Linked DNA regions of Lepisosteus oculatus. The protein of the gene in region 1 purifies or fractionates together with the protein of each later gene. This does not show direct contact. Links are inferred from orthologs where the notes say so. Each region holds a gene or a part of one and is shown in the gene's direction. Other genes may lie near its edges. The genes, in order: kcmf1, acot9.1 and abhd10b.

Evidence for each region.
Region 2: the proteins of kcmf1 (region 1) and acot9.1 purify together in Homo sapiens (affinity purification with mass spectrometry; 3 studies listed by BioGRID and IntAct, with this or other methods). This does not show direct contact. The link is inferred for Lepisosteus oculatus from reciprocal best matches to the Homo sapiens genes KCMF1 and ACOT9.
Region 3: the proteins of kcmf1 (region 1) and abhd10b purify together in Homo sapiens (affinity purification with mass spectrometry; 3 studies listed by BioGRID and IntAct, counting the BioPlex papers as one, with this or other methods). This does not show direct contact. The link is inferred for Lepisosteus oculatus from reciprocal best matches to the Homo sapiens genes KCMF1 and ABHD10.

What each region holds. Positions count from the first base shown.
Region 1 is NC_090698.1:23,488,000-23,498,562, reverse strand, and holds the start of kcmf1 (E3 ubiquitin-protein ligase KCMF1), read left to right. Parts: upstream 1-5,939; 5' UTR 5,940-5,954; coding exon 5,955-6,198; intron 6,199-10,563. UniProt on the Homo sapiens protein: E3 ubiquitin-protein ligase which accepts ubiquitin from an E2 ubiquitin-conjugating enzyme and then transfers it to targeted substrates, promoting their degradation by the proteasome.
Region 2 is NC_090700.1:4,387,492-4,397,954, forward strand, and holds the start of acot9.1 (acyl-CoA thioesterase 9, tandem duplicate 1), read left to right. Parts: upstream 1-5,968; 5' UTR 5,969-6,069; coding exon 6,070-6,092; intron 6,093-6,541; coding exon 6,542-6,636; intron 6,637-8,016; coding exon 8,017-8,043; intron 8,044-8,760; coding exon 8,761-8,806; intron 8,807-10,112; coding exon 10,113-10,283; intron 10,284-10,463. Other genes in the region: diamine acetyltransferase 1, read right to left, coding at 32-202, 435-475, 563-664, 1,821-1,904, 2,457-2,508, 3,092-3,157. UniProt on the Homo sapiens protein: Mitochondrial acyl-CoA thioesterase. Catalyzes the hydrolysis of acyl-CoAs into free fatty acids and coenzyme A (CoA), regulating their respective intracellular levels. Regulates both mitochondrial lipid and amino acid metabolism.
Region 3 is NC_090700.1:5,878,442-5,889,168, reverse strand, and holds the start of abhd10b (abhydrolase domain containing 10, depalmitoylase b), read left to right. Parts: upstream 1-5,780; coding exon 5,781-5,877; intron 5,878-7,359; coding exon of another isoform or gene 7,360-7,405; intron 7,406-8,220; coding exon 8,221-8,404; intron 8,405-9,139; coding exon 9,140-9,251; intron 9,252-10,364; coding exon 10,365-10,502; intron 10,503-10,727. UniProt on the Homo sapiens protein: Acts as an acyl-protein thioesterase that hydrolyzes fatty acids from acylated residues in proteins.

The sequences.
Region 1 (10,563 bases):
ACACTTTTTGTTTTCATTTTCCCCCCAAACAACTTGGATGTTAAAGACATTTACTAAGTTGAGTGCAAGCCATTCTGTTTCATTTATTTTATAAGACTTGATCAGCGACAGAGTTACATGACTCGACTCAATGAAAACTAGAGGTTCCACATCTAGTATAAATGTGTTCTGTCGTTTGAAGCCTCTCTCTGGTGCAAAAAGTTTTCCATAAAATCATTTAATGAAGTCATATTTTAAAATCTTCTGTCTTTCTGAGGTGCATATTTTAGGCATTTACAGTGCCTTGTGAAAGTATTCGGCCCCCTTGAACTTTTCAACCTTTTGCCACATTTCAGGCTTCAAACATAAAGATATAAATTTTTTATTTTATGTGAAGAATCACCAACAAGTGGGACACAATTGTGAAGTGGAACGAAATCTATTGGATTTTTGAAACTTTTTTAACTAATAAAAAAATGAAAAGTGGGGCGTGCAAAATTATTCGGCCCCTTTACTTTCAGTGCAGCAAACACTCCAGAAGTTCAGCGAGGATCTCTGAATGATCCAATGTTGTCCTAAATGACTGATGGTGATAAATAGAATCCACCTGTGTGTAATCAAGTCTCTGTATAAATGCACCTGCTCTGTGATAGTCTCAAGGTTCTGTTGAAAGTGCAGAGAGCATCATGAAGACCAAGGAACACACCAGGCAGGTCCGTAATACTGTTGTGGAGAAGTTTAAAGCCGGATTTGGATACAAAAAGATTTCCCAAGCTTCAAACATCCCAAGGAGCACTGTGCAAGCGATCATCTTGAAATGGAAGGAGTATCAGACCACTGCAAATCTACCAAGACCTGGCCGTCCCTCTAAACTTTCAGCTCAGACAAGGAGAAGACTGATCAGAGATGCAGCCAAGAGGCCCATGATCACTCTGGATGAACTGCAGAGAACTACAGCTGAGGTGGGAGAGTCTGTCCATAGGACAACAATCAGTCTTACACTGCACAAATCTGGCCTTTATGGAAGAGTGGCAAGAAGAAAGCCATTTCTCAAAGATATCCATAAAAAGTCTCGTCTAAAGTTTGCCACAAGCCACCTGGGAGACACCCCAAACATGTGGAAGAAGGTGCTCTGGTCAGATGAAACCAAAATCGAACTTTTTGCCCACAATGCAAAACGATATGTTTGGCGTAAAAGCAACACAGCTCATCACCCTCAACACACCATCCCCACTGTCAAACATGGTGGTGGCAGCATCATGGTTTGGGCCTGCTTTTCTTCAGCAGGGACAGGGAAGATGGTTAAAATTGAGGGGAAGATGGATGCAGCCAAATACAGGACCATTCTGGATGAAAACCTGTTGGAGTCTGCAAAAGACCTGAAACTGGGACGGAGATTTATCTTCCAACAAGACAATGATCCCAAACATACAGCAAAATCTAAAAAGGAATGGTTCACAAATAAACGTATCCAGGTGTTTGAATGGCCAAGTCAAAGTCCAGACCTGAATCCAATCGAGAATCTGTGGAAAGAGCTGAAAACTGCTGTTCACAAACGCTCTCCATCCAACCTCACTGAGCTCGAGCTGTTTTGCAAGGAAGAATGGGCAAGAATTTCAGTCTCTCGATGTGCAAAACTGATAGAGACATACCCCAAGCGACTTGCAGCTGTAATCGCAGCAAAAGGTGGCTCTACAAAGTATTAACGCAAGGGGGCCGAATAATTTTGCACGCCCCACTTTTCATTTTTTTATTAGTTAAAGTTTCAAAAATCCAATAGATTTCGTTCCACTTCACAATTGTGTCCCACTTGTTGGTGATTCTTCACATAAAATAAAAAATTTATATCTTTATGTTTGAAGCCTGAAATGTGGCAAAAGGTTGAAAAGTTCAAGGGGGCCGAATACTTTCGCAAGGCACTGTATATTACTACATTATCAATGCATAAAAAACATTTAAGAACAGCTTTGACTGTTGCTGCTGAAAATGAAAGCACTGCATTATATTGATTAAAAGCTAGGATTGGACTTCTCAGTTAGAACTGTAGTGGTATTTCCAAAATGATTTACTGCCAGTTACACCATTTGAAATGTAACCAAGACCCAAGAGCCACATTAAGTGCCTTTAATGAACATCAGTCTTATTCATGGAGATTTCAGCTATGGAAGCAGCTAAGGCTAATCACAATGTAATTAGCGATGAACAAAAAAATGATGTACCCTGAAAAACTGTGATAAACTTTCATCTTTCTCTAATGTTCTGTTCTTTGGTTTAGTCTTAGGCACAGGAAATAGTGTCCTGATTTGAACAGTGACCTTTCATTTGAAAAATGTCATTTGCTAAAATCATTTTGCTCAGTCGGTGGTTATTAAATTAAACTGACTAATTTAATTTTTTACGGTGATTACACAGATTTATTCAAGTTAGTAGTAGTAGCAGCAATCATGTCTATAGTAAATTAGATGATAAAGTGTCAAATTTATATTTTCTATTTTTACTATTCCATGCAAAAAAGAAGTAGAATTTTATTTTCACTTTACTTGCTCCTTTGCAGAAAATGCATACTGACAATATGCATTCAGATTTTATTATTGCTCAAATTTTATGATTTATGTACAACAACATCATCTCCATTAATTTATTATATAATTTTATAATAGTTTACATGTGCAATAGCATCCAAAATATGTTTCCAACCTAAAAAACAATAATGGTTATATTTGAAGGAATTGCACAATATTAACAATGTTTTAGAACTGATTTGAAATTATATATAATGTTCAACAGGCTGTGTGGGTCACGTAATGAGTGGTTGTACTGTCTACACCTTAATGTTTGTAGAAACTTTCAGAAAGGTAATTTCCTAATGTATCTGAAGTTATGAAATCTAACCAGTGGTGTTACAAATACTGCCGGTAATTACAATAATTACAAAGAAATTGCTAATTCTTATAGCTAGAAAAATTGAGCAAGAATGTTTGCTTGTGTTAAGATCCAGTGATGTGTTACTACTGTACATGCTGATCCCCAGTTGATGTGTCAGGTCTTTAGTGAGCCTTGCTGTGTGTAGTTGAACATGATTGAGATGGTGGGCCCTAAACAATGTGCTCAACATACAGTAAATGTTTGCCTAGAGATCACCACTGATAAGTAGAAGCCAACTCCTAATATCCACACCCAAGTTCCCCAACACTGTAATTCTTTGCTAAGTTTTATCAGTGTGCTCTTTCATTGCTAAATGAGACACCAAACCACAAATAATCTGAAAACACTTACCTTTGCCAGCATACAGTGGGATTTCACCCATGTTGATGCACAAATTGAAGTTGGGCAGCACAGCAATATTGAGAAGAGGTGTAGTAATTATAGGGGTTCTTGATAACTGTGATGGGATTATGAGTCTCCTATGATGCCTAATTGTGTCAGCAGCTGTAGTGGTATTTCCTATTCTGTCAGTTCTATTGATGGGTTTTACCCAGTACTAATAGGAGAACTCTCTCATAGAAAGAAAAAGTAAAGCCGTTATTTTTACAGAAAAGAGTGACATCTGGTGGTAATTTCAAGAACTGATTAATATTGTATTGCTTAGTATTCCTTTATTTCCTAGGGCGCAGTCTGCTTGGTGTGTGTATGCTCTGCCTGTTTTTGCATGGGTTTCCTCTGGCTGCTCCGGATTACATTACAAAGACATACTGGTAGGTTAAATAGCTTCTGGGGAAATTGGCCTTGGTGTGAGTGTGTGCGTGTCTGTGTTTGTGCGTGCCCTCTGATGTTGTGTTTTTTTTAAATATTTGTGTCTTGCATAATCATACTTGCTTTATGCCTGTTTGTCTTCTGAGACAGGCTCCACCTCCCCTCTTTCCCTGTATTGGATAAAGCAGCCAGAAAATGAATGGATGGGTGTGTAGAACTCACAAGCCTGACGTCATGCCACCACAGGCAAATTGATCTGATACACTGAACTGAAAAGGAAGTTAGTCTTAGCAGGTTTAAATTATGACAGTCCAAGGCCATCACAGACACAGAGTTAGATTCTTCTTCTTAACAGTAACTCCTGTTTTCCCATGGTATGGTAGACAGAGTGCAACCATGTAATGTTTTGTACCTAGAAGAAACACCCAAAGATTGCACTGATCAGGTCTGGCACTGATGTGCTGCTGCTATTTGTTCCATGGTGCCTGGCATTTTCCAGATATTGCTCTTGAGGTCTTGACTGAGTCAGGGGAAATGAAAGCTTCCTCTGCATCAGTGGTGGCAACATGGCTCAGGGTGTGACATGCACATCACTGGTAATTTGGCAAGCAATGGGCTTCCACTGCTGTATCCAAGTAATAAAGGACATTTCTTAAATCCTGAAACAACTTTTCTTTCATTTCATTGCTCTTAATTTCTTGCACTGCAAAGAAGCGGACCCTATGTTAAAAATGTAAGTACTTAAGTCATTGAGAGCAAAATGGAGATGTACAGTACCAGTAGTGCTTTACAATGGGAAGGTGGAAGTATGTTTCCTTCAGCTCGTGTTCATGGACACAAACAAATTCCTACTAGGAACTGATTAAAGGTCTCCATGCACAATTCTATTACTTTCAGGTCGATATTGAAGCACTTGTGTCAATGATCAGATGGGAGGAACTATAATTCTTGGGTATCAAGAAATGAGCTGTTTAGAATTTCTTACCAACAAGGAATCCACTTCCTTCCACAAGGTGCTGTAGTAAGGTCTGTTATTAAGGGAAGTCTACAGGATGCCCATGAATATGTGAGCGTCTTCATGAAAATATCTTTGTGGAGCAGGCGATTTAGAATAACAAACCCACATATCAGCATGTCTTTGTGAGGTGAACACAGACTGAAGCACCAGGAGTAAACCCATGCAGAGAACATGTACACTCCACACAGAAGGCACCCCAGCCCATAAATGAGCAGAGAATTCTAGAGCCATGAGGCCCTAATGACCATCACCACACTACTATGCCATAGTGCATAAAGGTATCTGATGAATAATTACAACGAACAACCAGTTGGATATACTCAGCCTTACCACTACTAGACCAAGTAGCCTTCAAGCAGAAATCCGAACTAGTGGGTACATGTGGAAATTACATGGAAGCAATTTAAAACCAAGAACATGATGCACTTCTTTACCCAAAGGGTTGTATGGAACAAGCAGTTCAGCCACGTTTTTTTATAGCTGATAACGTGAAAGAAATCAGGGCATTAATTAACTATTACCAGTTTAAACAGGCTAGATAAACAAGCTTATGTTCTAAAACAGGACAAACACAAACATATACTGTACGACAAGTTGTTGTTGTTTTTTTTTCACATGGGGCCTAGGAGTTGCTCATGTAAATAGTAGATATTTATGCTACATGCTTTAGGATTACAATACTGATTAAAAGGTCTGGAAGTATGAGATGAGTCTTAGAATATACGATTGCATACAGTATGTGTATAAAAAAAAGTTTAAAGAAGCGACATATCATCATATTTTTTTGTGTTGCGTAGCAATGTTATGTAAAGGAGACGAACAAAAAAGCACACAAAAAATACTCATCCGCGCAACGCGGTAAAATAAACTTCTGTCCCTGAGAGATATAAGCACACAGAACATACAAAATAGTTTTCACAAGGATTTATGGGTTATTATTAATCTTGATACATAATGACTTCCATAGACTGAAAAATCTAAATTTGTAAGACGAAATATAAAGTGTAATGACAATAAAATATATTTTTCTTCAATGTATTCATGGGTAGCAATTTAATTCAGGAGTGCATTTTAACCAACTTCTACTAAAACTTTCTGATGTTATTGAAAAATGTAAGTACGGCGCTGTTGGTGCTTTGTAATTTTTCAGTTCACTGAATAAAGTTTTGTTAAAAAAAATGACAGATTGTAGCCAGTTCCGCGCTGCTCCGGACTCGTTCAGTAAAGAGCAGCCAGCTCGCCTTGTCCAGGTCAGTAGGGAAGCATGGGGCGAGGCGCGCCCTCTAGCGTTTCGATCGGAGTCCTCCAGCGCTCCGGCAGCACAGCAGTGACAGACTGCGAGGGGGAGGCAGAGAGCTGGGTGCTCCGGATCCATCTTCATGAGAAAAGAGGCGAGAGAGAGCGAGTCCCGGCTTCACTTCTCAAAAGCGGCATCTTCTTGTGTGATCCGTGCCAGGGAGCCCAAGGAGGGGGCTGTGTCAGCGTCTGTAGGATGTCCCGACATGAAGGTAAGCGGGGAAAAATGGGTGCCATAAAGAGGGAGACGGACGAAGACGGCGGCGCTCGGCGGAGGGGGTTGCCATGTTTTGTATTGAAATGCATTGGAAGAGGCGCATGATGGCGGCCGCCATGAAAATTTGCCACTTTTTTTTCCCAACCCCCCTCTCTCTCGGGCTGTAACTAGCCGGAGCCTGACTGCGCCGAGTAAGCGCAAGGACGAGCCTCCAAATAAATCTCCTTCGGGTCGAAACCGGCAGAGCCCCGGCCCTGCTGGGAGGCAGAGCACGGAAACGAGCGAACTGCGAGCTTTCGGAGAAGGCCCAGGTAGTGCCTCTTCGGATGTCGCTACGGGGGTGAAATCGTGGATTTTTCCGAGCCTCCCCCCCCACCCCTGGACTCCCGGCCACTGAGGTGCTGATTGCACTGTCATCAAGGTGGCCGATGCAAGGATGAGGCCTGTCAGAGGCCTACTACTCCGAGAGCAGACAGGGCACGGTGCGTCTTTGAGCCACCGCTTTGAATTTGTCAAGGAAATATCGAGACCGCTTTACTGCTTGGGTGTTGCTTTATTGTGCCTTTTCGGGTTTCATTTTGTCGAATACCGACTCTGGGAAAAAACAAAATATTAAGGCTGGGTTTCAACAAGAGATTGCCTGTTCTGGACTGTTGGGGAGTTTTAAGTTACTTCTGGTTATGGTGTTGTGTTTTACTGCTCATAATTTAATCTTCTTTCTCAATAGGCTGTCGATATTTACTGATTACGTATCAAGAAAAGGTGAATTTCGTTTAAGAGTTAATAGCGCATTGACATGTTTTTATATATATACTTCACAAGTAATATACGTATCAGATGAGTTTTTAACTTAGGTATTGGCTGTCTTGTTACATAATCAGCTGTACAAGCAGTTTACTACCATCTGAATCCTTTGCCTTTCTCAAAATTATAAGCCCCCTTAAACATTGTGTTCTTTATTTTGGGGGTTGCAGTGACGATACTGATAGTTTATAATCGCTGTGATATTGCAGGGTAACTTTTGGAGGAAGAGGAATTATATTTTACTAAGCATGTTACAGTAAATCGTAGCTCACAAGGAGGAATCTGTGTTTAAACCTTAGCCAAATCTGAAAAAAATAAACCTTAATGAATGTAGTTCCGGTTATTCAGCGTTTCATGTGTGTGTGTGCAGTGCTGTTTCATGCTATGAAATATTTGGAAGACTGGGTAGTGGGAGAGACCTAGATATATCTGCGGGGTAGGCGTGTTTGCAACCGAAATCCAGCGTTTGCACATGTAAATGGTTTCTGAAGAACTGCATGAGCCACATCAGTGAACGGTTTTTGACTAATCCAGAAAAGCAAAGAGTTGATCAAGTTGTTCAGAGTTCTTTTTTTTTTACCAGCCTCAGTGCAATGGGTGACATAAAAAATTAATAAGCATTGATCCTGGGTTTAGACTGCTGCTTTGCTTATGTATAGGTTGAAAGTGGTAATTTATGAACGAAAAAGACACCACTTGATGCGAAAACATCCAAGTGGTATTTAATTTGGTATCCAGACCAGTTTTATCTGTGCACCTTAAATCAAGGAATTACAGGAGGCATTGGCCATTATGATTGAATGACTCAGCTGCTCAATTTGTATTTAATTATAGATTTTAGTGAATTAAAGATCTACTAAACTGATTAAGATTTTGTGTTCACCAGGATTCACAGCTCTGAAATTAAGAACTTTAGTTTAACCCAGGTTTTTACTGAACTTCCGTTATATTAAAGATTGAATCCCTTCCACATTTTTGAAGAAGTTCTTCCAATAATCTCTGCTTCGTTAATATACTTAATTTGCCTCATTACTGAATTTGTTCTCTTTCAGATTTTGGGTAAATGGCACTGTTTACCATGAAACGATGACTTGCAGACCTTAGTCAGAGTGATCAACCACTGTAGAATATATGTGGGTTGTGATGCAAAAAAACCCCAATAGGCACAGTGGTAGAGATGTAGAAATAAGTACTGTAATTTAACCCCTTTTATAAAGGACACAAGCTAAGTCTGAGCTTGTTTGCTTGTTTTCAGTGCAATATGGCCCAAAGCACAAATGTTGTGAAAGTGGAAAGATATTCTAAAATAAGTTTCATCCCTATTGCAATGCTTGAAACGTCCCAATTACATTGCAGCTTTCTGGAAGGAGGTCTGATTTCTGAAACTTGTTTTATACAATCCTAACTTTGCTAGCTCACAGCTCTTTCATCACAAACAGTACTATTATGGTCCTCAACAGCATTCTGTATCTGTGGTAGATTTGTTGTTTGTCACAGTAAAAATTCCTTTGCTTTTGTGTCAGTGCTTTCTTAAATTCAGTTAAGGAGTGTATTTGATTCTGGCTATTGGGGAAGAATATCTGGAAAGGCAAAAAATGCAACACTTTTGCCAACATTTCTGTTGAGACAACATGAAAGGGTGCTTTTAAATGCTGGAAGAAGGAATACATCAAAGTGCCAGGCTGATTTTAGAAAAACTTTTTGTTTTTCTCCAAGCCTGATTTATTGCAACTTGTTCCCAAGTTGTACTAAAATTATATGGGTTGTCAGTAAATCAGTTTACTTTTTTGTGCTTTTTACAACTTAGTGTATATATTATTTAGATATCTTACTAAAGAGGTGTGGGAGCGTTTTTTCTTATGCTTTTCTTAATATTGATGCTGGCGATTGTGTACACTTTAATTGTTGGGAAGTAGCTTTATAAATCAGTTATTGGAGTTATAGATGTCCAAAAGCCCCATTTTTAGTATATGTTTAAATACTTTGAAGAACTGGGTGCAGTATCATATTTCTTAGTTCAGGATAATTGTGCATTGATGAATGGAGCAAAGTTTAATATTTTACTGTCAAAATAAATCTACAATTCTAATACTACAGAGGATTTGTCCACATGGTATCCTATACTTTCACTGACCGTCTTTAAGTGAAGTTAATTGAAGACTTTTAAGTTTTTTTCCGATAGTATTTTTGCTTGAACATTCACACATGCAATGCCTCTCAGTTTACTGAAATATGGTATATATTTTAAATTTAGACAAAGTAGATAATACCTTCGTTGTAAAAAAATATAGTCCTTAGAAAGCATTCAGTCTTTGAATAGCATGTGCTTAATTTGTAGTAATTCCAGCTGATAGTCAAGTGTTTTACATTTTTTTTCTTAATAGCTTTTTCTAGGATGTGTTGAACATTCTTTTCAGGTTTTAAAAGCATCATCTTCAGTTGGCTGTGTTTTGCAGTCACAATACAGATTTACTTGTTAACTGTATAAAGGATGAGTTAAAGATCTGTCATGCACACTCCCTATCTTTGTCTCATAACGTCTACGAGAGAACAGCGTGGTTTATCTCCTCAAGTTTTATTTTTGTGATTTTTTTTGTACATTGTTGAAGATATTAGGAGGTGATCAATTTTATATATCAGCTTGAAGGTTCATTCTGCACGGTTTTCAGAAATTGCAAGGTATTCTAGACTGAAAAACCATTGTATGTTTTCATATAATTGTGCCAATAACATTGCGATTTAATATCAAGCAAAATTACTATGATAGTGTATTAAAGCAGTATTATTGAGCAAAACAAAGTCTGGGGTAGGTTGCACAGAGACTGGATAGATGCCATGCTAAATAGTGGAGCAGTGCCCAGTAACACAAAACCGTGAAGTATCGTTTCTGTGTGAATCTTGGTACTTAGCTGAATTTCTTTTCTTCAGGAAGGTTTCATGTCAGAATAGCTAAAGCAGGCCCACCCTGTGATGCAGGCACAGCCATGCTACTTGGGAGCAATTAAAATTCTGCATTAAACTTGTCCGTGTGCACTTTGTTGTTGTCTTAAAGGTAGGCTATACACCCTGGATTTTTTTATGTTGATGTTCCTGCCAAGCTTAGCTATAGTTCCATAGCTGGTAGTTCTTGCAACATCTTCTGAGTCTTTAATTGCTTAATTGAATTATGTGTTTGAAGTGACATTGGTACCAGGTCTTTAAAACCTGCATGGCTAGTTTGTAAGTTTGGGAGCAAAATCAGAAGCCTTGAGTTCTTCCAGATCTCTGAAGCAGTTAGACTTTGCTTTTTTATAACGTTCTTGCTTACCTACAGAAACGGTTGTAGAGTTCTGTGGTATACATTTTAATCTGTGGAAGCATTTCTTCATAAAACCTTTCCAACTCAGAAATCAGGTTTGTCATTTAATTGCTTGAATTTTAGTAGTTTTTCCATCTATTTGTAGAAGTACAGAGTTTTCTTTCTTTTATTCCAAAAGTACCCAAACATGTTTGACATGCTTGTACAGTATCTAGTCTGTATCCCACTAATGAAACCAGTGGTTTTAATTTAAATGGA
Region 2 (10,463 bases), on another chromosome or scaffold:
CTCCCGGTTTTCCCAGCCACGGATCCGGCCCTCACTCCTCGGCACACATCTTCAGCAGGTACTCCTTGTCGATCCGGAAGAGCCGCCAGCCCTCCTGCAGGGACAGGTCCGAGGCGCCGCGCCGCTTGTAGAACTCGATGGAGGGCTTGTTCCACTCGGCCACGATGAAATGCATGCTGCTGCAGCGCGACTTCACTGCGGTCTGGCGGAACGACAAGTAAAAACAATGACACCCCATGCAGAGCCAAGGCTGACCATCCCTTGGGAACAGTCCACAATCTCTACGTGCTACCACTGAGCCAAGACTAAGGAGCTCCAGAAACGTCACTTAACACTAAAAGGCCACTCCCTTGTTTCCCAGTACTTCATTCCACAATGTAAACCACAGGACCCAAAAACGTCACCCCCACCACCCAAAAGTCAGCCAGCCTTACCTGGCTGAGATACCTCAGGATTTCAGACCCAATACCATCTCCTGGAAAAGAAAAACAAGTTGAATACAATCAACGAAGTCACAGGTCCCACGTGAAAAGCTAAAGCAGCATGTCAGTTTTAAAATTACCTCTGTATTCTTTCATGACATAGAAGTCTTCCAGGTACAGCAGTTTCCCAATCCAGGGGTCGTAGGTGAAGTAGTACATGGCAAATCCTACAACATTATAACCTGGAAAACAGGTCATGACAATTAGAGAAGGTTCTCCAGGCTAAATTAACATTTAATAGAGGGCAACCACAAATTTGAGGAAAGAGGACATGTTCCATGCATGATTGTGTTCTGGGGGACAGTACTTGTCAATTAAACAGCATGTTCAAGTCACGCCGACTTGGACTGCTTGACTTATTTGTCCCCTGAAGCAAAAACCAACAAGATCGCTATCGGATCTACACGGCAGTTCAGAATAAGTCTTAAACTCTAGATATAAAAAGGGTGAACTGTGAATACAGTCAAGACTGAGAAACATCCTTGCGCAGCCAATCGAAGATACCAGTGGATTACAAATACACGCACTGAATAACTTTTTGACCTGCATTGGAGGTGGAACAATGCTTAAATTGCAACTGAAGTCTCCACAGTGAAGAGTGTGGGTCATCGCTGCCAACATTTGAATTTGGAAGAACTCTACAGCCACAGAATTTGCCTGTGTGCAGCTCTTAAAAACAAAAAGAGCACAAAACCTTCTCCAGGACCTGTCATGCACCCTCTTAATAGAGAGGGCTGCCGGCATGTTCTGAGCTACCGTGTGCAGTTTGGGGCATGGCGCTAGTCCTGTGGGCCTTACCTGGCGTGTTACGATCATGTATGTTACTGTGTAACTGATCTTTCAGTTACCTCCCCGCCCACCCATGTACACGCCAAGGGCTGTGTACATGTCGAAGCAAGAGACTGTAACCTGAAGATTGGGGATAAATTAGAGAGAATACACTTCAACAGGGTTACAAACTCAGTAGCCAGGGTCAACATTCTGCAATCTGGTCAACTTAAAAAAAAAAGCCACCCTTCTGCTTCAAAACACTGGACGTTCATCCGAATCTTAATGTACCAGCAGCAAGTTTAACATTCCATTTTTTGCACATCCCATAAAATGCTATGTGCAACTGCAACAATAAGAAAAGCTAGAGAAGACACTGCATACTTCAGTCCTATCTAAAGATAGGAGCCAGACTGATATCCTAGCCACACTGCACAAATAATGCATGACCACACCTGAAAGAGGAGTGCACATCGCATCTTAACCCACACTCAAGGAAACGTGATCATGCATTACTTGAAATGAAAGCGGAGCTTTGGAATTGCAATACTCCCTAAAAAAAAAAAGTACCCTCAGCTGTCCGCCGGTCCTCAGGCACTTCTGCAACCACGCAGTGGTAGAAAGGGTGATCTCCGAAGCCGTCTTCCAGCAGATCTGCGGAACACGGGGAGGATGGAGAAGAAAAAAAAAGACTGGAGTAGGAGACGGGCTGGTGAGCGAGACGCCTCGAGCCGGCTGGGGGAGATCGGGGCTGAAGAAGCTGGGCCACTTCCTTGATTGCTAAGCAATGGCTCCCGGGAACGCTTCTGGGCAAAAATAGCGACGCTGGGAGTACAAACCTGAATGTCTACAATCCGACCCATTACGAACCACCACCCTCTTCCCCCGTGACAGGGAAACAATCCTTAGCATAACAGATTGACAGGGCTTTCATAAGGACACCCCTGTACGGCCATCTACAAAGCGAGGATTGACTGAGCAGTAGCACTTCAGCAGCATTCAGCAACACACAGCAAGCCTACATGGATATTTGTGTGGGATGGACGGGGACGCTTATTACGTTATGGGAAAGAAATTCAGGGAGGCTCATGTGACTTGAGAGGGGCCTGGGAGTGCTGCCCGTTCTCTCTGCATGGCCAGCAATGCAGGCCCAGAGTCTGATCAGAGACTACCCCGCTCGGCGGTGCGGCTGCTGGCAAACTGTACCTTTCTCGGTCAATATGACCTGATCCTCCATCTCCTCGTATTTCGCGAGCTCCTGGAAAACAAGACCACAGAAGAGCCCCGTTAAGTCCCGGGTCGCCCCGGCTGTGGGACCCACGCACCTGCCGGTCTGAGGGAGCAGGACCCAGCCTGGGGAAGCGATATTTGGGAGAGGTGTGGGTGGTCAAGGGGATGTATACCCGGGACTAGTTCCTGCGCAAACCGCCAACTCAACTTCCAGGCATTTGTTACTCGCCGCCAACCCGAGCTTAGGATTTGTTTTTTAAATGTCAAAACACCCACCATCCCCCTACCCCTCTCTCCCCCCCCCCCCGTCTCCTTACGTGGCTGCAGGTCCCCTGTACCGATAAAGAGGAAACGGTGCGTCGGGAGACGGGCCTGCACCCTGGCCGTCGGACTAGAAAAAACAGCCTCGTTTATCACCTGCGTAACGGCACCGAGAAAGAAACCGTAAAGAAACGCGGCCTGCAAAAAAAAAAAAAAGATAAATAAAGGAAACGTTTTCAGGTGCTCCAAGACGGGTGCCGACTGTCCGTCTGCCTGGAGAGGCCTGCAAAAAAAAAAAAACACCCCAAAAACAAAAACAAAAACGCGTCACAAGCCAAACCGGAACTTACCTTTATGAGTCGCAGTATGTCAGACACGTCCTTGGGCTCGGCTTTCCGCAATATGAACTTGGCCATTTTCTTCTTTTACTCTTTTTCCCTTTTCTCACGAGTCCTCTGAATGTGAAGAGAAGCAGGAGATGTTTCTTCATTCGGCTCCCAGGAGTGTTACCCCCTCCGCTGACAGTCTGGGACCCAGACCCCCGTGTGAACCGATTACATCCAACAGCAGCGGCTCGGAACGGCGCTAGACTGAGCGCTTCCGACCCGGGAGCCTGTATTTATAGGTTCCGCGGGGGAGGGGGCGGGTGCTTGGCGTCTGCTCTTTGTCTGATGACCAATCACAATCTCTATCGAGGCCGCTACGTCACTATGTCTTGTTGTTTACCTCAGGGCTAGTGCTTTGTTGTTTGTCCTCTGCGCCTCTTTAGAGCCCGAAAGAGTTTTTTTTCCCCCTTTTAAGGTGCACACGGAGTCTTTTTAAACAATATTTAACCCAAACTGTTACATGTGGCCTAGCGAATGCTGTGTTAGCACGGTGGAAATTTACCTTTCTTCTGGGCGGTTGGCTTCTGCAGCCTGGTGCCCCAATTAGGGAAAAAAAACAACAGAAACTGTACTGTACAACTGTAGTGCACGTTTGGCTGTAGCGTCGCAAACATAATTTTAAAAAATATCACGTCCGTGTACTTATGGGTTTACTTTGCGTGTCTGTTTCCGACTTGCCGTTTGTTTTTACAAGTGCTGAGGATCTTAACGCCCGATGGAAGGGTCGTTTTGTCCCTTTGTCTCATCAGGACCTCGGGCAACAAGTCGCCAGCGCCGATGCTGAAGCGGCGGGGCCGCTCATCTGGGGGGGCGCTGGTTCTAGAACAATCGGGAGAGTTCTGACCAGTCACGGGACTCGGAATGACCCCCTCCCCGCGGGCCGCATTAAGGACCTTGAGTGCACACCTGTGTCCCCACCCCCGGTGTGTCAGACAGCAGGGCGGGCTCGGAAAATCACAGCGCCGCGGCTCTCTGTCAAACATTTAACACCTCCCCCAACGATCTGACAAGAGTGGAATATGTACTTTTTTAAATCCCCTTTCCCTCCCCTCCTTCTCCTCTTTAAATGCCACCTGTTTCGAGGGGTGTTTGTGAATGCTATATGGCTCGTCACTTACCCTTCGGAGAGCCGGGCAGCTCCGCAGAAGGGCAAACGTTTTACCGCCCTGCGGGAATATACTTTTTTTTTTAAAAAAATTTGCCATTCGGATTTTTGGAGAAAACGGGGGGAAAAACGACGGTGTAAAAACATCGTTAAAGAAAACGTTTCCGATGTTTCCGGTCGTTGTGCTCGCGCAAAAGCGCACAGAAGGACGGCGGCTCGGGGCGGCTCGGGGCGGCTTGGAGCCCACCTGACGGATCAGGCCGACGAGTCCGGCTCGTCCCCTGTCAGGCGAGAGCTCCACATCTGCCACTGGCGCCCCAGCTCAAATGCCCCGTGATCTCCTTGAAACACAATGAAAAGAGCAATGGGTTCATTTCGAGAAAGAATGCAGAATAGCAGGGTCAACAAATGGATCTAGAGACGTACTATTAAGACATCAAAGTGCACAAGTAAATCGCCGTAGGAGTCCGCAAGGAGTTTGAGCCTTGACATACAACAGAAGCACAATTACCCCCCCTTTAACTTGAACCTCTGTTTTGCAAGATAACGCCTCATTTCACCCGAAAACAGTGCGGTTAGAAAATAATTCACAATGCATGCCTCATACAGTGATGTACTGTATACCCACTGAAATAGGAGAATTATGTAAAAATAAATGCATATTTTAATCAAAGGTGAAAGTGAAAGAACGCCTTTACATGTCAGGAAAAACTCCGCTCAAAAACGTGTCTTCACCTTTTTTTAATACAACAAATCAGGACATTATTGGAGGTGGTGAATTCGTGTACAAAAGGCACTGTCGGCGATCATCCCAGGTGCGGATCTCGATTCTGTCCCAATACTCGTTTTTACGGGCTGCTTCATCACCCCTTTCCCCGTCCTTTCTGTTGCTGTTTGTAGTGCAGTTCGCGCTGTCGAGAAGTTTTCTTTTTTTATTTATTTTTATTTTTTTTGCTCGCTCACATTCGTTCACGTCTCCCCCCGGTCTGTCGCAGAAGGGCTCGTGCACGCGCCTGTGTTTTTCTCGGCCCGGTCACCGCGAGGCAGCGCGCGCGCAGGTGCACTCGGCCGCGGTCCGGGGTCCGAGGTTTCCAGCGGGTCCAGAGCCCGGATGCGCTGATAACATCCGTGAACGTGCTGTATATCCATCCATTGGAGCTGCCTTGCACGGACCCCCTGTGCATTTTAGGATACAATGAAGAACAACGCTGCTCATTAATGCTGCTTCTTAAGTCATATTTCCATCTTATAAACTTTAAAGCAGGGTGCCGCATGAGACCATTTTGTTTTGTGAAGGTGATGTCTACCCGGTAGTACTAACACATTAATCATAAATGTTCTTCAATCATATTACATCTGGCAAAACATAACATAATGCCAAAGTCCTTACATTTAAAATTCACATTTAAATGCCGAAAGACAAACTTTCGTAAGTCTGTCTAAAACAGCTTTGTATGTACGGGTAACCGATAAACGTGTCAAGCGCTTGTTTTCCAGTCTTACAGAACACGCATGAATCATCTTTTTTATATCTGAACCTAGAGAGCGTTAGCTGAACGGGATAATTCCTAAAACCTTTAAATGGTATTTCCGGAACCTTGTTTATAAGGCAATATCTGTCAAGGGGTTTTTCCAAGCTTTTTGCAACTAAGAACTCGGTTTCAGTTTGACGCTTCAGAAGCAGCGCTTGTGTAAACTTTATAGGGCGGGTTTGCTGCAATCATGACGTAATAGGAAACGTCACGTCCACCCGGAACTATTAGTCCTGTCATTTTTAGCCATCTGTGCTGTGCGCGTTGGCGTGTTTCATAGATTATATTCTTACTGCTTCACAGAAATGTTACCTTACTTGTCCCTAAGGTAAGTCTGTTCATATTACATAGAGCATGTTTAAACGAATCACCCTTATCTCTTCTTCTCAAGTTTGTGAAGCTTCTGCACTGTGAACCAAACTCGATTTTATCATTGTTTAATAAACCATTACGGTAAATAACATTTTTTTTATCAACCGCCCTTTAAATACAGATTATTTCTAATAACGGGAGCGTAATAAGATTCTAATCTCCAGGTGTTTGGGGTGAAATAGTCCAACAGTGATTACATTGATAGGCGTGGTCTCAGAACCGAGCAGTCTCGTCCGCATGTTGTCTCAGAATTTGTCAAAGTGCAATGAAGTGCAGAATTTAAAAACCCTCATTAAGGAAAGGCCCTGTGTATTCGCACAGAGCGGTATTTATCTCCTCTCTGGTGTGTTTGGTGTGAGATACTGTTCAGGAAATGTCAGGAAACGCGATGTGCTTGTTCTTCAGGCTGCGGTTACTGAACGCTGCCTCCGCGGTGGCAGCCCGGGCTCTGTCCTCCGGCTCTGCGGGGTCACAGGGACGGTCTCCTGACATGGCAGAAGGTAAACTAAACAAGCGTTTGCTTGTCCCCATATCCACCTCCGGTTTCTGTCACATAGCAATATAGTCATAGTCATTTTGTGCATCACCTCTCATGCCAAAGAACCCCAAAACGGCTTATAATACATACAGCAGAGGATCCACTTCCTTTCTCACTAAAGTGTAGCCACCACCTGGGACACACAGTGGCCATTCTGCACCAGCAGCCCCACCTGGGAGTAACACAGTGGCCATTCTGCACCAGCAGCCCCACCTGGGAGACACACAGTGTTCATTCTGCACCAGCAGCCCCACCTGGGAGACACACAGTGGCCATTCTGCACCAGCAGCCCCACCTGGGAGACACACAGTGGCCATTCTGCACCAGCAGCCCCACCTGGGAGACGCACAGTGTTCGTTCTGCACCAGCAGCCCCACCTGGGAGACACACAGTGGCCATTCTGCACCAGCAGCACCACCTGGGAGACACACAGTGTTCATTCTGCACCAGCAGCCCCACCTGGGAGACATACAGTGGCCATTCTGCACCAGCAGCACCACCTGGGAGACACACAGTGGCCATTCTGCACCAGCAGCCCCACCTGGGAGACACACAGTGATCATTCTGCACCAGCAGCCCCACCTGGGAGACACACAGTGATCATTCTGCACCAGCAGCCCCACCTGGGAGACACACAGTGTTCGTTCTGCACCAGCAGCCCCAAAAGCACAGCAGATCTAGGGGAGGAGTGAGAAACCGCTTCACCAGTTGATTTAGGAAGCTGAATTTTAGGAAGGGTGTGTGTTTTAGAACTCAAGACAGGACTCTGGGGTTAACATCCTAAATGTGTTATATTAATGAAAGGACATTCCCATACAGATTTTCCAAGCCCATACAGTGTTTTTGGGAAGAAAAAAAATGTTTTTAAGACTGGCTGTGTGCTATCAATATTTCTTAGAAGGGATTCAGGTACCAAAATAAGATAGGGTTTCAGTACTGTACTATAGTGTTATGTGTGGTTCTGACTCGATGGAAAACTTGTGGAGTTGCATAGAATGTTGTTAAATTAAATGTCTGGTTTAGTTTTCCTCTTAGTTATTCTGCAGGGTTAAGGGTGTTTTACAAAGCATTGGACCGTATTAAAGTCAGTTGTCAAGTTAAGAAAAATTGACATTTTGAAGACTTGAGTATTCAGTAATTAAGGAGTTTTATTGAATGTTTGTGGGGCTACAGATTTGCCAGAAATTGAGTGCAGAAGATGAATAATCCCGAACACATACAACACCTGGGACCAGATGCTTCCCAGATAGTTTTAATCTCCACTTTTTACTGTCTGCAAACTGCATTGTTTTCAAGTTTGGTCCTCATTCCATGACTTAGCCTTGTTTTTGTGTTTCTGCAGGACATTCGCACTTGCTTGTGAACGATGGTGTGTTGGTAAAAACAGTAACAAACCAGCATGTGTAACACAATCTAACACCTGCACGTACTGTAGGCCACGAGCTGGGCACTGACTTATTCTACCTAACGGACCCTGAACTGGAAAGGAATTTACAAGGAAGTTATTTGCAGATTGGAACTTAACCTTTCTGACAGTTGTTGTTTTGCCTTTGAGGCAATAGATGGATTTTAGAAAATGTGAGAAATTGAAGATGTGAATAATTGCACGGAATATGTCATTACCTTGTAAATTTCCTTACAGCCTGCAGCACAGGTCTTTTAAATTCTCAGTGAAAGCAAGTTCTTTCTACTGAGAGGTGGGTAAATAGCACTACAAGAGTGATCAGGGTGGACAGTGCTTGTTGCTTTGCTTTGCATGATTATATATGTATGCGCTTATATATACAGTATATAAGTATAAGGTGACTATATATACCTTTAACTGTTGCCTTTTGCATTTCCATGTTATTTTAGTTTTTGTTGGTGTTCTACGCCTATAAATTCACGTAGTGAAATACGTAATCTCCCAGCAGTTCTCTGCTGCTACGCATGATTGTGTTCATTTAAATGGAAAAATAAAGTAATTTGTTTTCGTTTTATCTCTACCCCCTTATGTTAAATTATTTAAGAAGGAAAATGATGTGGAATGTATGATTGAATGTGGATTTGCAACAGTTCATGTAAATGAATTATTTTTTTTTATCAGTTAGGAATAGACTGAGGCAGATAGTGGGAGCTTCAACTAACTGGAGGTATAGTATTTAATTCTTCATTGTGGGTCATTTTTAATGATATGTTTAATTCCAACTTGTTTGAATAAGAAGCTTGGCTAAGCTTTGGGTGTAAGTGTGCCATTTATGTGATTAATTTTGACCTCCCAGAGACACTTTTTCATTCTTGTTTAAATACACTTTTCTGTCAGTCTCTAGATTAAGGTCGAATGTGGGTGCCTTCAGAAATAAAAACTCTTTTCTGCAGTTTAGGATGAATCGGGCAGGCAGGTGGCTGTCAAGGGCGATTCCTCAGTGATTGTTGTTTCAGTAAAACCTGCTGGGAAACTTTGATTTGCTAGATATTGCTCCAGTGTGTAGTGTCTCCAGTCAACTTTGGTGCTGGAGCATTTTAAAATATAGAAGTTAGATGTGTCATGTTTCTTGGAAATACTTCTTGGATTTCTCCTTGAACAAATTATTTAAAAAATGTTTTACTCGAACATGTAACACTTGTGTGTGTCATTAGATGCTGCCCTCTAGTGTTTTACCTATGAAGACTCCAAGACCTGAAAGACTTGGTAGCTTGTCTAGGTACTAATTATGATAATAATGTTTCTTTATTAGCCCTATACAATTTCTTGCATTAGGAATTCGTCTTTTCGCATACCCCAGCTTTTCTCCATGGAGACACAGACACACAGACAGGGAGAGAAGCTGGGGGTCAGAGCGCAGGGTCAGCCATTATACGGCGCCCCTGGAGCAGTTAGGGTTAAGGGCCTTGCTCAGGGGCCCAACGGAGTAGGATTCCTCTGCCGGCCGCGGGATTTGAACCGGCAACCTTCCAGCCACAGGCGCAGATCCTTAGCCACAGAGCCACCGCTCCACCCTGATTACACTCAGCTGGTGTTGCTTTAGGTTCGAGCAGGGAACTGTGGCAGCCTGGCTGCAGAGGAACAAGTAAAGGTTAATTCCACACTGAAAAGAAGAAAAGAGAAACAGGCCATGCTTCAGGTCTGAGGGAGAGAGAGAGAAGTGAGCAGGGATGTCAGGCACAGGAGAACGGAGGACAGAGCTGGTAAGAATGTGCACACAGGTGTGAAAGCCTGAAATCACAATTTTCACACATCTTTCCCCAGATCGCCCTTCGTTTGGACACCTCTCACCTGTGTGTCCATTCTCACCTGCTCTGTCCTCTCCTGTGACTTATTTCCCTGCCACCTTCCTCACTCTCCCTCACACCGGGAGGAGGCTCTACAGCTGGAACGTGTTTCTTCTTGCTGCTGTCGCATGTGGAACTAACCCTTCCTTCTTCCTGGTGCTGCTGCTGGGCTCGGTCTCTGTGCAGCGACCACCAGCAGGCCCTGCGGGAGCGCGCCTCCCTGACCTCCCAGCTGGCCACGCGCCAGGAAGACCTGCCCGCTCGCAAGATGAAGGACAGTTACATCGAGGTCCACCTGCCCCTGGGCAGCCAGCCGGAGCTGCGTGAGAAGTACCTCAACGTCCACAACAGCGTTAGGTAAGTGACCAACCAGCTGGCCTCACACATGGACTGATTCATGTGAAATGGTTCTTACACGTGATGACGCCTTTGAGGTGGCCTTTGAGTGAATTGATCTCCCAGCTTTCGAGTAGAGAAACCAAGCTTGTCAATGGTCCGGTCGAGCAGCCAGATCAATCAAGTGAAGAGCTCAGCTGG
Region 3 (10,727 bases), on another chromosome or scaffold:
TACAACATGCAGCTAGTGTGTATATTATTTAAGCTTACTTCAAGAGCAGCTCTCTTCACTGCATTCATAATGGATTGCTCACACAGTGTAAACATATCAGTTTCACTGTCATTAGCCTGTTGAGTTTTTTACACTAATATTTAGTCAGCCTGTGCTTCAGATTCTGAATTGAAGATGTGTTAAAAATTAGCTCAATCAGCACAGCATGTTTTGTTTAAGGATATATAAGTACATTTCTTTATAAATATCCTGCTTGTTTTTTTCCTCCCTTAAAAGCCTGGCATGAATAATGTTTTTTGGCCAAACATCACTGGATCCATCTCTGCAGATTTTATCACACCTGACAACACTGGGCTCATTATTCTGCACCTGAATACTTAATTAGGTACATAACATATGAATACATTACATCATACAGTATAGGTTGGTGTTAAGTAATTTACTAGGTATACATATATAGTTTAAGTAGGTATTAATTACATTGGTACATATTGTAGGTACACATTGGTATTAAGTAATGATTATAGAGGAACATATACAAAGTATAAATAGGCATTAAGTAATAAGTAGGTGCAGAACAAGACTGTTCACAAGTGCAGATATAAATTAATCCTGGTAAAGCGAAATAATTCTCCCATAACTGGACTGACTTTCATTAACAAACAAATTAAAACTGCACTGATTCAATCACTTAAGAAATCATATTAAGTTAAATCAAAAAATAACAAAGAATAATGAAGACATTCTTGATACTCACAAGATTTGGAGTGCTGATGTATTTCAAGGAGAACCTCTGGAAAAACAAAAGAGATTTGTATTATTACTTATTAAAGCGAGCACATGCATTTTAATTAACAGAGTGACATTTGAAATCACACACATCTTGTGGAGCATTAAAAACATTCTTTGCACAACCTCAGTTTTGTTTGGAAATGTGACAAGTTATAATAACCATAAAATAATGTTTTGCTCCATGTTTCTTACTTTTGCATGCGAGTATTATTCAAGGTATAGAATATTTCTTAACATGCCCAGTATATTTGAGAAGCTTAGTGCCTGGCTTGAGAAGTGTTTTAGCAGTTGTGGCAGAGATCTCAAAGAAAACTTATAGTGGGGGTTACCAGGAGGCAAACTGGTGGGTCACTCTGTCGCGTTTGGTACTGGGAGAATGAATGTTTTCTGGTTTCACATGGGGGGTGACGACCAAAGACATTTTCTTACTTCTTGGTGCTGGTGCTAAGGAGGGTTTCTCCTTGCAAGTTTTATTTCTTGGGGTTAAACTGAAGGATGGCTTATTTTCCTACAACACAAATAAGTGGGGATCTCAAAAAGTATTGGGGTGCACCCCCCCCCCCCCCCGGCACAAGCCAGTATGTCCACTGTAAACCCCTCCGAAAGGCTGGCCAGCTCGTAATTAATACCTGAAAAAAAATCGGCACACCTTTAAACATCAGATAGAAGAGAGCTTGAGTTTATCTGAGTGACATGTGATGTTCCACCTTATGAGTGCAGATAAGACATTTGTCGGGGACAATCCCTGCACTAAAACCAAAAAGAACGCAACATTTCCAGAACCAAAGAAGGGGGCTTGCATGTCGCACAACCTGAATGGTTTACTGCTCAGGCTGTGAAACAGAACACTCTATTGTTGAAGATGACAAGAATGAAGCGTCTGTGAGAGACAGAAACTGGCAGCTGATATTATCAGCTTGTCAGCACTGACCTAAGAAGGTAAGACAAAGACCTGCACTCTCTTACTGCTCTCATTGATGAGCTCCTTAAGAACAACAGCGGAGCACAAAGCGGATCCATCCAACCAGGAAATCACCTCTTGAGCACGAGACAGGTTTGCCAGACTTCCTTCTCATCGATACTAGAGAGTGGCATGTAGTTTCTAGGAGGGTCTGGGGTTCGGCAGCAAGGGCTGGACACCAGATCATCAAGGTACAAGGATGGAACTTCATTCCACAAATGCACACAATCCCATTTTTGAACATGCCAGTGCATTTTCATTTTATTAGACATATTCCTGGAGTAAGGTTTTGGACTATGAATAGCTCCCATGTGTTATTAGCTGGGAGAAGATGATAATTTGAGAGTGCAGAGCTCTTCCAGTTCCTGAAAAGGCACAGCTAGCTGGAAGCCTGACAGCCTGGAAAGCAGATATGGATTGTTTTATTCCGGCCTAAATGACATTTATCCAGTGAGCCCATTTCTGAGTGCAGTTCAAACACCAGGGGCTATACAGGGGGCTTGTTTTATGACCCAAATAAATTAATTTCAGACAAAGTAGCTTGTAACCTCTGATGGCACTGACCCACTTATAAAAGTTATTTTCGTCGAGTGCATAATACTACTGGAGCCTAGGCTTAGCCACTGAACAGTTAGGCCACCCCTCTCCTTTTGGCTGTTTTTTTTTAATCGCATAATTAAAAATAACGGCGTGTCTGCCAAACACTAGATTTTTCCGCCACGGGATCTCACTCCCGCACTCAGACATTTTAAAAACCGCTGGCGAGCTATTAAACTATCAATAGCTGAGCCGTTTTATGGTATTACCATTCAGCAACAGAAGGGGACAGACTTATTAATTGAGGGGACATGCTCCCGCATGCGGTTGCCAAACAGGGGAACGTCAGTCCAAAGCAATTTAATTAAAACCGAATTAGTTTAAAGTCAAAGCTGAAGAAAGTTGAGCTTCAGCAAATCCTTTGCCCCCCGTTAGGATGGTGGGGTAGCCCTTCTGAAAGTTAACGAGTCGCGTTGGTGCAGCCGGGGAGCTGTAGGCAGCGTAGTGGCTGAACGTCTTTCACGTTTCTTAAATGAAATAACCGAACCAAAACTCCGGCATAAACCTTTCTTATAAAACGTAGGATAACACCGCTGTCCGAATGCATCTCGCAATTAGATTATTCGCCTATACGTTAGGGGGGAGCACAAAGAGAATTAAGTTTATAATGAGTATCAAATTAGCAGCAGTCGAGGTCTACTATGATAGAAGCATGACAGTTGATTCTGGGGGTCTCCTGGATGGCGCCCGGGAAGTGCTTTTGTGCAAGCGGCCACAGAATAGTTTGACCCCCCCCCGCCCAGCACTCAAGATTAGTTCAACCCCCATCTCTGCCGGATGGCCCCTCAATCACCCCGCAGTAGCCATGGCAACCGGCTAAACTCAGCGGCCGGCGACAAAGCCTTAAATATGAATCGCGAAAATGAAAAGACACTTGCTATCCATTTTCCAAACACGCCTTGTGCCTTAGAGCAGGTTTCCCCAATTCAGACGCGAAGTTACGCTCCTGATTGTTAATGTCAGCGTAACTTTATAATGAACTTTAGATGATAATACGCAGCCTGCGACAACTTTCAGAAACAGGGAAAAAAACAAAACAGATTTAGTACATCCGTCCCCCAAGCAGGAGTGCAGGCACTTCCATCGGGCGCTCTCGAAGTAACTTACCTTTTTCATCATGAGGAGCTTTTTTTAAAATTGTGATTTAGGCTGAAAGAAAAAATCCTTCCGTCGGCTCAGATCGCGCAGGGAACGGTGACCGAGTTTGAAAAACGCATCGCCTCTTCCTCCTTCTTCATCCATGAATCGCATCGCCTCTCCGGGCTCTCGGAACCGCGGCTGAAGACCCGTCTCCACGGCGCCGTCTCAAACTGGAGAGCAGAGATTTGCTCGGGGCCGCCACGGTTCAGGGCGAAGATGAAAACTTGAAATACAGTATCGTCTCCTCCTCACCTCCCCCCACCCTCCCAACCGGTCGGTGCAGCCGCACACGGAACAAAACTCGCAGTATCGCAGGCAGGCGACTGAACACCATCAAGAGGGGAAACTAGAAATACAGAAATCAAGAGAGAGAGAAAAAAAACCCCCAAAACGTATAAATGTCCACTTAAGCAAGAAATGCACGCTTCTCAGAAATGAGATGTGTGCCTGTGCACAGGTTCCCCTCGGTCCAAAACAGCGCCCTGAACCCGCCGTGAGGCGGAGTTACATACTTGAGTCGAACTGCAAACAGCCGGGAACGAAAAGGCGAGGTCTGGCACTTCGGGCATTTCACAGATTTGCGGAAATCTCTCTCATCTGAAAATAAGCCCCGGCGAGCACTTCGTCCATGTGCAAACTGGCTCGCATCGTCCCTCCAATAACACGGCAGGCTAACTGCTGGGTTTCGCACACGTTTGACCTGATGGACAGTAACGGCACTGGAGATGGGAACAATTCCCCTCCCTCCCTCATCCTCCTCTCAAAGAGAGCACAAAGGTGGTCGCATCTACTGAGCAGCGCACAACTCCTTAATAATAATAAAAAAAGGTCACAATATAATTATTCAACATTTAAACGCCAAAAGACGTGTGATTCAACGTCTGCAGTTATCTCGCCGATCCCCAAATTATTTCTGGCTAGGATTCGCACCTATCGAACTCCCTCAACGCTGCTATTAACAATAATTTCCCGTTTGATGATAAAAAAAGCCAAACACGGCGTTTTCTCTGGATGACTCCATTCCCGATTACTGCGTAATTTTCCATCCCACGTTATAAGAAAGCGACTTAAAAGCGTAACAGAAGCAGTCGTTCTAATAATTTTAGTTAATTTCCTGATCAATCTAAAAAAAAAAACTTATGATGACAATTAGATTTAAATATTGTTTTAGCTTTCAAACAGTCGCATTCCAATAATTTCTCATTTTGATCCCGGCTACGTATGTTTTCTATTTCCTGTCATTTTAGCCGCAATATAGAGTTCAGGCCAATTATATTAACAGAGGCAGAGAGAAGCTACAACCCCATAACTGAAGCCAGTATCAGAAGAAAGAGCCTGTCCTTCTAAAACAACCTCCCTGTGGAGATTTCCTGTATATCTTTTCATTCCAAAAATGCCCTGAACTGCTTAAACTGGAAACGTGTAGCTACTTTGAATAAAGTACGTTTGGTTCACATGTGACTCCAGGAATGCGAATTAACACGTGCACAGATTATGCAAATAAAACTGAGGATTTGGTTGCCGGTTGTCCCGAATTAAAACCGTAATAACCTCGTTTTCCATTTAAAAAAAAAAGATGCATGGTTTCAGATGAGATTTTGTAAAACGGTTCCGGAATATTTTAAAAGCAAACCTTGCAGTACCTGAACAGACAACGGAAAATCTGAAGCTCCCAAACCCTACAATAGCTTTTCCAACTAGATCCATCGTATTTACTTTGTGGGTTCCTTTCTGTTCCAGTGGAACAACCTAAGCGCGAAGAGGAAAAGGTTAAGGTTTATCCCATGCTGAAAAGAAAAGAGACACGACGTCTCTTCTTTGGAGTTTCTTCTTTTCAGACGAAGAAGGCTCCACAGTCGCAATACTGTGTCCCTTTTTTTCTTTTCAGCTTTGAATAAACCTTTATCTGATCCTTTGCAGCCTACGCATGCTGACGCAGCTCCCCAACTCAACTTCTTCAACTACAATTTGAGTCAAGGACTGAATTTGTGACCCTATACCTGCAGCCAGGACGAGCGCATGACACACACCCCCTCCCTCCTCAACAACAAAGTACTAAAACATGTCGGGTGGCGGCAGATATGAACTGAAAAGCCCATTTCTTAGATAAGCGGTCTTGTACCCGAGGCGAAGGGGACCAGTCTGCTCACCAGCCGCTGGGCTGCCCTCGTGCCTCACGCGCCTTCCCTTCTCACTTTCAGGTCCGCGCGCCTGGCTCTCGCTCGCTCGCTCGCTCGCTCCGCGCGGCTCTTCCCTCTCGCGGTGTTTGGGCCGGGAATTGCGATCCAGCATGGCGGCCGTGGCGCTGGGGAGGTGCTGCAGAAGACTCCTGCGGACCGGAGGCCATGGCGGCGGCGGGACGGCGCCCTCGTCCAGCAGTGCAGGCGGTCAGTACTCTGGCCCTTGCTAGCGGCCACGCAGCTCGCGTTGCTGAAACACGGGGGGTGGAAAGTATCCGTCGCTGTCGGGAGGAGGAAGGGAGAGATCGCAGGGGGAGTGTTAGGGGCCCAGGCAGCTCCAGAAGGCCAGGGAGCGACTTTTTCCTCCCTAAAGCGGTTTTCCAACAGACCAGATTAACGTTTCTTTGTAATAAAATGTGTAAAAACGCAGCGTGTATCCGGCAAAAACAATAATAAATGCGCCTTGTCTGTTCCTGCTTTAGATTGTCCTAGTCTGGGCGGCTTAATTGGAGGTGTAACACCAAACACGGTTAGCTGTGCATTTAAAACGCTGTTCTACATCACCTCGTCATTTCATATGCAGTCGGGAAAAAAATATGATCCGATAGGGAGGACGTCTATCGGAAGCGTGGAAGCTGACCGATGACGATTCGCGTTGCCGGTGACGGTTTTTGAGGAAAGTGCGAGTCTCGCTGGTTGAAGGTTTTAAAGGGGGATGGTCCTGTAAAGACCCGGGCCGTTGGCTCAGCGCTCCGTGCTGCGGGGGAAGAAACGCGATGTTTGTTTTCGTTCGGTTATGTTCAGTCTGACTGCTCTGCTGTACGTCGGAAATCTCCTTATTATCGCCTACCGTCGGAAAGGGAACAACGTTTTAATGCCTCGGCAAAATAGTTACAGTTTAGAACATGGAGACAACAATAAAGGCCGAAAATCGGACAGCGCCGGGTTCGATGTCGTTGTCACGTCTTTTATGATAAATTCAGCCGGGGACTACAGACACCATTGCTATGCTCACACTGAAGATGACTAATCTTTCAGTAAACTGCACAGGAACCCGTGTTTCTCAACACTTCACCACGCTGGTGCTGGACTCGGGAAGTTCGCTACGGTTTATAACTGAGGGTTTTCCGGGTACCTAAGAAAAGTCATAAAAAATGACATTATATTTCTGTGTATCTGTCTGCATACTTGCAATGAAAAAAAACAACAAAACAGTTTAATTTAAAATATCCCCTTGGTTATGGGTGTCCTTCTGGAGTGTCTTAAGAGGAGGTCTCAGGACCAATGTGGGCTGTAAGCGTGAGACAGGACTGACACGTGTGGAAGACTTGTACACTACAGCGAAGGTAAAAGGCTCTGTCCTGGCGTGTGGGGTGTCGCGTTTGCAGTGGTTTGACGCAGTGAAGTGTAGCCTGGTGGCCTTCAGCTTTAAAGAAACTGTCCCGGGTTCGCTCGAACAGAAGGTCTTGCCCTTCTCTGGATGAAATATTTGGAGAAGTATATGTACCGCATGTCAGTGAAGCCAAGTTCATTTGATAGACCTTCCTGTGGCATTAACGTGTTTAAGGCGAGATTTGGCAGCAGAAGTGCAGTCTGCCGCAGGCCGACCCTGATCGCGAGAGCCGAGACGGCGCGTGTGATTTTAGCCGTGTCTGAAGATTGAGTGTGCGTCTGTTTATTATTGCGCAGGATGGGAAACGTGGGGAAGGCCGGGAGGTGGCTGAGTTTGCGGCAGGTACAGTACAGAGATTTGCCTCTCGGTATGAAGCCCCACGGGCAGCTGAAACTAGAGCATCCACAGAAAAGCCAGGGGATGGTTTTCACATGGTGCCAGCCCACCCAGAGCCTAGTTACCTTGCGCCTGGGGGTTCAGAACCTGGCTATACTGTGTGCCTTTGTTTCCCACAATCAGCTGCTCTCTTTCACTCAGCTTATACTGTACATCCTTCCCCACCATAGATTAATTTTTACCTTAGTGATACTTTATAATACTTCATAGGATCCTTTCTAATTTTGTACATGTATTGAAACGTCTCACAAGTGAAAACCAGTAGGAATCATGCAATAGATTCTTTGTTCATTTAACCACCTCTGGTTTTTCCTGTTTTGTGGCCTTTTAGGTTGTGAAAATGAGATTTTTACCTTACTGGAATGTGACATCTGCAGCAAAGCACTAACATTCCAGTTCAGCTGTCGGTGTTTAACTATGGTGAAATTAAACCCTTATGTGAGACAGTTCCTGTAAATAACTATGCCTACATTACATGCACGAAGAAAGCCTTTTGGTTTGGGGGAGTATCGTAATTATCAGTGCTTGATTTCCGTTTCTCATCCTGTGCTGGTGCGTGTCTGACCTGTGATAAAGTATTTTGAACTGAATTGAATAAACCGACCCAAAGGAGAAGATATTTCATTATCATCTAGGGGAAAAAAAAACACTTGTGTCAAATTAAGGCTTAGGATCAAAGCAAAAGTGATTACTTGTTCAACTCAAGTTTCCCTTTTAAGAGCTCATCAGTTTTGTTGTTGTTGTTGTTTTTCTCCTTGAAGGTGTTAGGCACAAGTCCTCAGTGCAGTATTTAAGTCGCCCCGACCTCCCGAAGCTGGCCTACCAGAAAGTGAAAGGCAAGAGTCCAGGGGTGGTGTATCTGCCAGGGTTTGCCTCCACCATGAATGGACAGAAAGCAGTGGCCTTGGAAGACTTCTGCAAGTCGCTAGGCCATTCGTATTTAAGGTGATTCATTTTAGAACTCCAGAGTGGGGTCTTATGATCCTGGATTACTGGAGCAACAGCAGTTTTTGTTTGTTTTCCAGTTTAACAATAACACAGCCTGTTCAGATATGCGTATGAATGTCCTTCTCATGTACTGAAAGTTGCACCTCCCAGCTCCCTTCTCCCGGGCACCAGTGAAGGTAACCTTTGAATAAGGTATTGCAGTGCTTAAACTTTGCCCTCTGTTTCAAATAGGTAATGCATTGACAGTGCAGTGTTTGATGTAATGGTGTAATGATTGCTAAAAGAAAAACATCGCTTCTACAGGTGGCAAGCAAAAAAAGAAAATGAGGAACACCAAGAACAGAGAAAACTGAGGCTTCCACACAAGTCTGGCTCATGTTTTAATGAAGCAGTTAACACCCCGCCGTGTTTAGGGTCATGTGTAAACCATGGACCGGATTGGCTGTCTGTAATTACGGCAAGGGGTCAGGCCGTTTCAAACGAAGGCTGCAGTAAACCTGACGCACTGAAATGAGATATCTTAAGCTGGATGTTGTAATAAATATGGCTCCCGATCTGGAGAAGCTAACCCATTATAACAATGATAATTGATAATACCTCAGAAAAACAGCACCATTGCTCATAGCAGGGGGGCGCGATCGTTTAATAACATGTACTTGTGCCGATTCCGCAATGACGTAGGGTCAGAATGCCAGCCTGTGATATGTACCCCCCCCTGGGGCTTTCTCTCAGGTTTGACTACACAGGTTGTGGGGAATCGGAAGGCGTGTTTGAAGAGGGCAGGATAGGCACCTGGAAGAAGGATGTGCTGGCGGTGCTGGATGAGCTCACGGAAGGCCCCCAGGTCAGTCTTGCCTCCGGTCAGTCTGTTCAGAGCAGCTCCCAGTCCTCCCGGGAGAGGAGACGGTAGGTGGTCTCCCGTCCCAGCCTGAGGAGCAGACGGTAAGATTTAGAAAAGTTTAAGTAGGTAGCTGCATCAGCGTGTGCGTAGGCTACAAAAGGAACAAGCAGAGAAAAGAGTTCAGGTTCCACAAGATAAAAAAGGCTCCACAGCCGAAACATTGCGTCTCTTTTCTTTTCACCATGGAATAAACCTTTGCTTGTTCCGTAATTATAATACAGTGTGTGATCTCCTGTCCCAGCCTGGAAAACATTAAGCCCATCTCTAGGTAATGTTCTATGTGTTGTACGTTGTATGTAAATGTCCTATGATGTGTTTGTATAGTAAATGTCTGTCTATGTTGTGTCAATTGCATATGCTGTTGCAGCGCTGTAATTCCTCGGCCATGCCAGTAGAGCTTGTTGAATTGAATTGAATGTTCAGAGGCGAGTGGGCGTGAAGCAGAGCCCAGCCACAATGGGCCCGTACTGAAGGAGCCGTCCCGGATTGAGCTAGCAGTCACCCCCAGACCTCTCCGGGGAGCGGGGGGCAGTGCTGGGAGTGTGATCGGGGCTCCCCCTCCCCCGCCTCTGTCAATTCAGTTCAATTCAAGGTGCTTTATTAGCATGACCGATGGGTACAGTCAGTGTTGCCAAAGCAAATAAAAATAATAAACAAAACAAAAAATAGAAGTAAAATAAAATCTACAGACATATTACAGACATTTACAACAAAGACATATTATAAAATATTGACATATACTGTAGGCGGCTGGAGCATTATTGGGAGACAGACTCACTGTTCCTCAGGCTGTGACAGGAGATCACATACTGGGCTGCCAGATCAACGGAGTTCCCTCCTCCCTCTCCCAGTAGGATTGGGACCCGTTGTGACTCTGGCAGGTGTGGGAACCTGTCTCTCTCTGTCCTGCAGGTCTTGTGATTGGGGCTCTCCCCCCCCACTCCCTGTCCCTGTCCCTGTCCCTGTCCCTGTCCCTGTCCCTGTCCCTGTCCTACAGGTCTTGTGATTGGGGCCCTCCCCTCCCACTCTCTGTCTCTCTCTCTCCCTGTCCTGCAGGTCTTGGTGGGATCCAGCATGGGCGGCTGGCTGATGCTCCTGGCCGCCATCGCCCGGCCGGAGAAGACGGCCGCGCTCATGGGCATCGCGACTGCCGCCGATCACTTCGTCACGGCCTTCAAGGCCCTTCCCCTAGAGGCAAGCGAGAGCCCTTTTCCTTAGCCCAGGGAGAGAGGAACCTCGCGGGGCCGGCCTCCGCCCAGCGCAGCGATGTCCCGCAGAGGAAGGCGCCGGCGCAGAGAGTCGGAGATCCCGAATGAACCCGGCCCGGCCCGCGCCGCTCGGCGGGGGAGCCCTGGCCCGACACGCCTCCTGCACGGCGTGTTGCGTCGCGCTCGGACCCGAGCTCCCGGGTCTGCTCCG